2 linked regions of the Drosophila melanogaster genome follow. The gene in region 1 interacts genetically with each later gene. Each region holds a gene or a part of one and is shown on either strand. Other genes may lie near its edges.

Region 1 (3,279 bases):
TTTATGTCGCTGAAGCTGTCATCAAACTCAATGCCCACGTAGCCATATGTATCCTTTCCTATCAGCGCTTTATTCAATTCAGATGCGCTGGCAAAGGCCTTACTGCCAACGGCCTTCAGATCGTGAACCACATCCTCGATGACAGCAGCCAAGACTAGATTCTCAGGTGAGTAGTAAATGTACCTGGTTGGTTCATGTGGTGTTGTCAGGGTGGCCTGGACTATTGTGGCAATCGGCTTATACATACGGCACTTTGGTTGTGATGTTGACGGGCGGGTACTTCACCGACGTCTCCTCTTGCGGCTCTCGGAACAAAGCCGTCGCCGCATAAACGAGGAAGACTACGATGGGCCCCACAATGATGATCACGCTGGTTAGCGTATTGGAGAACTGGAAGCGGGCCGTCTTGCATATGACCAGCCACAGCAGGCATATGCTGCTCTGCGTCTTCACCGGCGATTCACCACTGGACATATTCGTACAATTTAGATGACGCCAACACGTAAACAGATTAGAAATATAACAAACTTCACGTATACTCCGCACTAAAACGTTCCGGCTTCCGTGTTTTCTTTTATTTTGTGGTTGATGTGAAAATTAAAGTCGAATCGGAAATCCGTTCCGGCAGGGAACGCTGCTAAGCTTACTTCTTCTTGGACACACCCACGGTGCGACCACGACGACCGGTGGTCTTGGTGTGCTGGCCACGCACACGGAGGCCCCAGTAGTGACGCAGACCACGGTGGGAGCGGATCTTCTTCAGACGCTCCAGATCGTCACGCAGCTTCGAGTCCAAGTTGGAGGAGGTCAGCTGCCAGTACTTGCCATCGATGATGTCCTTCTGCCTGTTGAGGAACCAGTTGGGCACCTTGTACTGCAGAGGGTTCGAGATGATGGTCACCACCTTGTCGACCTGCAAACATGGCATTTAGGTTGGTGTGCGTCTCGAACGGATTGGGCGTGCTCAACTTACCTCCTCCTCGGTGCACTCACCGGCGCGCTTGGTAAGATCGACATCGGCCTTCTTCAGCACAATGTTGGAGTAGCGGCGACCCACTCCCTTGATGGCGGTCATGGCGATGCCAACCTTGCGCTTGCCGTCGATGTTCGTATTCATGATACGCAGGATGTGCTGGAACTTCTCTGGGATGACGAGCGACTGCAAGAATGCAAAGAAAAAACATTAGTATAATGCATATAAACCACGCCATTTTTGCCAACAGCTAACGGCATTTGCAATTCACTATAAATTTGTCGTTTGGCGCTCAGAATCGCACATATTTGAGGTAACTCACCATTTTGCCGTTTGTATTCTCGTATTTACTCCTCACTGTAAAGAATTAAGAGGTATTTTGTTTTAGAATTTTGGAAAAATCAAATGGGCAGCACACCACTCACCGGAAACGGGAAAAGAAAAGAAGGCCGAATTAATGTGGCTGCCTGAGGCGGAGTAAAAAACCTAAAATTGCCTGCCACGTTCGGGACGCGTGCTGTTAATAGTTCGCCGTGTGCTGTTAGGCGCACTCTGGTCCATCACTAATGCAAATTTAAAAATTCAAAAGGCGCCGAACTTTTGTTCAATGAAAATGCTTAAAGTGCCATTTAGATATGCTCTGTGTGCACATTTAAAAAATTAAACTTCATATTTTATGTTTCTTTATATTTTATATTTTATTCCCCACATTTCGTAATACGTTTTATCGTACTGCATCCCTAGAGCACCGTTATATGAAAGCTTTTCAGAATGGGTGAAATAAATGGTAAATTATATTAGCTATGCGAATTTCCAATATTGATAAAAATGCATTGCATTTAAGCACTCAGCTGCGTTGGACAGGACGATGTCGTTTCCCTGCGCATCGTGTGCACCATGGCTCGCGACGGCAAGCAGCACAACCTCGAGGATGTGGACATGTACGGGAATACCGCCCTATTGAAGGCCTGCTATTTGGGTCGATTTGAGTGCGCTCGTACGCTGCTGGAATTCGGTGCAAATATCTTTGCTATGAACTATTTTGGTCAAAATGCCCTGACACTGGCCACTTATGCTGGGCATTTGACTTTAGTAAAGGAACTGTTGAGGCGAAGATCCTACAAGGATTTCAATCTGTCCTCGATGATCCCGGCCCTCTGTGTGGCTACACTGCAAAAACACTCCGCTTTGGTGGCCTATTTTACTCAATTGGATTCGAGGGGCGTGCAAGAAACTCAAACAGTGCATGGTTAGTAAAAATCAAGTGTATTTATATAGTAACATTAAAGTAAATTTATTTCAGGTCTGGGAGTTGCAGAGCTGCGAGGAATGATTAAAGCTGCAGGCCGCTTAGATAAGCGCAATGTGCGCTCTCCTCCCACTTTTATTAGCAATCGTCTGCGTTAATGTATTGTCATTTTGTAATAATTTATTAATTTTAATGTTTGAAATAAATATACTCTGTAAAAAGTGTGAACATAATATGTTAATCAAACCAGTTGGCAGGCCGCTCGCTGGCTGCTATCGATAGATTCAGTCGATATCGCCCGTGGCTTTTCACATCCCTATCCCGCTCATTTAGCCCGCCTGAAAGTAAAAAAAAAAAACAGCCCACGTTAATCATTCATCCCAAAGTCACAGCCGCGGTAACATTACTGCTGTTAAATTCTTAAGCCCGTCATCAGTATTTAAATAATAAAACACATTCAATATGTTCGAGGCACGCCTGGGTCAAGCCACCATCCTGAAGAAGATCTTGGATGCCATCAAGGATCTGCTCAATGAGGCAACCTTCGATTGCAGCGACTCCGGCATTCAGGTAAAAATTGCACAAAAAAGATTTTAAATGCATATCCCTAACACCTTGTTCAACTTACAGCTACAGGCCATGGACAACTCCCATGTGTCGCTTGTCTCGCTGACCCTGCGTTCCGATGGCTTCGACAAGTTTCGCTGCGACCGCAATCTCTCCATGGGCATGAATCTGGGCAGCATGGCCAAGATTCTGAAATGCGCCAACAACGAGGACAATGTGACGATGAAGGCGCAGGATAACGCCGACACTGTCACCATCATGTTCGAATCGGCTAACCAGGAGAAGGTATCGGACTACGAGATGAAACTGATGAACCTCGACCAGGAGCACCTGGGCATACCGGAGACAGACTTCTCGTGCGTGGTCCGCATGCCGGCCATGGAGTTCGCTCGCATCTGCCGCGATCTGGCGCAGTTCAGCGAATCCGTTGTGATCTGCTGCACCAAGGAGGGCGTCAAGTTCTCGGCCAGCGGCGATGTGGGCACCGCCA
Region 2 (3,323 bases), on another chromosome or scaffold:
GAAAAAAATATAAACACAAAGCAGCTGGCCGAGCTCAGCTGTTTCTTAGCCAAAAGCCGGCAACAACAAGCCCCACATGTGGCCAACTTAGCCGAAAGGGGGGAGTTTATTGGTCGCCAGGGGGGGTGGGGGGTTTGCAAAGCTTCGGCATTGCCGACTGCGCAAAGACAATAATTCCATGTTGTTCTTGCCCACGAAAAACCAAATAAAGCAAGGTAAGCGCCTAAAACCCAAACAACAGCAGCAGCAGCGCCAAAATATCTGTGGGGCTTTAACAGGTGGCAATGTCATGATTTCACAGTACACAAAATAATATATCTTTACATACATAGATAAATATAGATATCTATTTATCTGAAGTCACTGGTTTTGAAAATGGTTCCGAATCTTTAGTAAGTAAGCCTTACTTAAGGTTTCATAAAAAAAATATATTATATAGTAAGAAGTGCACGCTAAGCATTTGACAAAAATAAAATGTATTTATATTTTAGAGCATAACCAATACAATATTACAGTTTCCTAACTATTAATTTGTTTAAATTAGTATTTAGCTGTAATATTTTCTTTTTCATGCATAGCGAAACAATTAATATATGTTTAAATGATTATCAGATGACATGAAAAAGTATTTTTCAATAAATACATTAATTTGCACAGCAAACGACTATTGAAGTAATAAATTACTGTGCAAATTTTATAACAAAATGTAAAATTTTTTATGTTTTATGGTTAGGCATTTTCATAAAAAAAATTGTCAATTTTTACTCCAAGTGCTCTTTATGAATATTGTCATTATTGCACGCAAGAATTGTGAATTTTCGGCGTCATTAAATTAACTTAATTGATTATTTTCGTTAAATTAATTTGCACGTTTTGTGCAACAATTGTTTACATTTTATCGGTTCATCTGTTGACTGCCAATTCGCAAAAAAAAGATTTGTCGCAAAAACTTCGACGCAAAAACCGAAGCAAATCAAATCAAATCGCACCGCAAAAGTAACGACTGAAAAACTGGACAAACTCGCTTTAATTAGAAGCAAAATAATATTATGTAGACGGTATAAAAACGATATTTGGTACTTAGACATGTGAAATGGTAAATATTAATGCGTGGCGAGTTCCTTGAACTTTTATTCTAATTTATTTATTTCACCCAAATCACGAGGGTAAAGTCAGAGATTTAACAATAGCAAAAAAACATGGATATGAATATTCTAATGTGCCAGATTAACGTTTATTCTTAATCAATTATAAACAGGCACAAAAACCTTAACAGAAACAAAACACATTTTTATATAGTTTCTAAACTCTCGAGTTTTTTATGAATTATTTTTACTATTGTAGTTTACAATTAGTTATTAGGCATAATTCTTATATCATATTTTTAAGCACTTTGTGATAGTTGTGACTGTTGTTGAAATTTATTTTCTTGAAAAGAAATATACATATTGTAATTTAGATCTTAAAAACTCATTATATGATCTATTTTTAAGGATCGTTTTTCAGCACTGATCATGGTTCTATGACTAGGATTTTATGAGTTGCCTGATCACAGAATTTTCGGTAATTTTAACCGCTCTTAATGCGGTCGCATTAAAAAAGCAGTTAATTACAGTTAGTTGCATTTTGCAAATCTTATTGCACGTTTTTTTTTGTCGTCTTTTTTGTGCTCGTGGAAAATATTATTTGTAAAATTACCGAATGGAGCGCTACAATCGCGTCTATAGAGGTAGTATTGCTAATACTTTTGTAAACAAGTTTAAAATATATCCTTTAACTTTCAATAGATCCCGCATCCCCACTGACCCCACTCACTCCCCTCTCCACCGAAGCTTTTACATTCGAAGATGTCACGCCCACTGGAGGCGTTGGCAGGAAGGGTACCGCGAGATACGGACTCTTTGGAATGCCGAAGAACAATAATCTTACGGTTCCTAACAGTCGACCGGCATTGTCCGGGTTAAAACGACTATCGGAATCCACTTTGCCCCGTCGATTTTCACAGAAATTTATGCGCACGCGTTCCGTATTTTCGCCCACAAGTCAAAGTACCCTTATAAATGGGGAGACCAGGCTACTGGGAGAATCTGGAGATTCGAAACTACTGAGAACTAAGAGAGAAGACAGACCAAAGCCGGATATCCGACTGCAGCAGGAAACGCGGCTGAGGCAGGAGGAATCCAAGTTGAAAAGTGCGCGAAAGATTAAAGTGGAGGACCCAAGAAGTCCCACTCCCAGTATCCATCATTCACGCTATAAGCCCTGCTCCCCGGTGGAGCACCCCACTTTGAGTCCTCGGGTCAAATCCCTGCTCGATCGCACCGGAAACGCGCATCTCACAGAGCTGTTCACGCGCCAGGAGATCGACATCGAGGTGCTCATCCAAATGACCCTGGAGGACTTGGCGGCACTGGGCGTTCGCGGCGCCCGGGAGATCCGATTGGCCATGAATATTATCCAACTGGCCAAGCAATTCTTCTGATTTTATATCCTGTAGGATTTCTGCTAATTTTAAACTGTTTTATGTCATGTGGATTTGAATTTGTATGTGAGATTTTAATAAATGTTTAATGTGGTCTTGAAGTATTTTTGCGCGGTGATTGGGGCTTGGGATTGGAACTCTATTTTTAATTTAATATTCATTTAACATTAAGTAATAATTTTTCTCAGTGTATGAACTTAGCTAAAAACATTAGTAAAGTCACAAACCATAGAGTAAGTCGCATTAATCCATGTCTGAACGGTATTTATTTTAGTATATTTTTGCGGCACGCTAGTATGCTTCAAAAGTCGATCCGCGGTCACACTGAACACGTGTTTCGAACAAAAAGCCGTTTAAACAAAATATCCACGTTTTTATCAAAAAAGCAATGGGCAAAGTGAAAGTAGAGCGCTCCGAGGATGCCGATGAGTCCGTTGTGGCCAGCGGCGATGTTACCATCAAGGAGGAGGAGTCCTACGACGACAAGCTGATCTTTGTGAACGCCATCGCGAAACCGATGGCAGGTAAAAAACTGGCCAAAAAGTGCTACAAACTGGTGAAGAAGGCCATGAAGCACAAGACTTTCCTGCGAAATGGACTTAAGGATGTACAGACTCGCCTGCGCAAGGGCGAAACTGGGTAAGTGCTGCGTGATCCGTGACTGCAAGACAACAAGAAATATACCCACATCTTCTCCAGCATTTGCATCTTTGCTGGCGACGTTACACCTGTGGACATCATGTGCCACTTACCAGCCGTCTGCGAGGAGAAGGGCATCCCCTATACCTACACCCCCAGTCGAGCGGATCTTGGAGCTGCCATGGGCGTGAAGCGCGGTACA

Evidence for each region.
Region 2: of plu (region 1) and gnu, changing one suppresses a phenotype caused by changing the other (phenotypic suppression), as found in Drosophila melanogaster (one study listed by BioGRID).

The regions. Positions count from the first base shown.
Region 1 is NT_033778.4:20,262,127-20,265,405, reverse strand, and holds plu (plutonium), read left to right. Parts: upstream 1-1,721; 5' UTR 1,722-1,744; coding exon 1,745-1,760; intron 1,761-1,817; coding exon 1,818-2,222; intron 2,223-2,276; coding exon 2,277-2,380; 3' UTR 2,381-2,448; downstream 2,449-3,279. Other genes in the region: CG8908 (uncharacterized protein), read right to left, coding at 1-183, 248-474; RpS18 (ribosomal protein S18), read right to left, coding at 644-913, 974-1,159, 1,296-1,298; PCNA (proliferating cell nuclear antigen), read left to right, coding at 2,685-2,792, 2,853-3,279. UniProt on the Drosophila melanogaster protein: Inhibits DNA replication early in developments. May bind and block the action of a replication or initiation factor.
Region 2 is NT_037436.4:14,801,638-14,804,960, reverse strand, and holds gnu (giant nuclei), read left to right. Parts: upstream 1-1,600; 5' UTR 1,601-1,701; coding exon 1,702-1,729; intron 1,730-1,787; coding exon 1,788-2,482; 3' UTR 2,483-2,581; downstream 2,582-3,323. Other genes in the region: NHP2, read left to right, coding at 2,871-3,121, 3,182-3,323.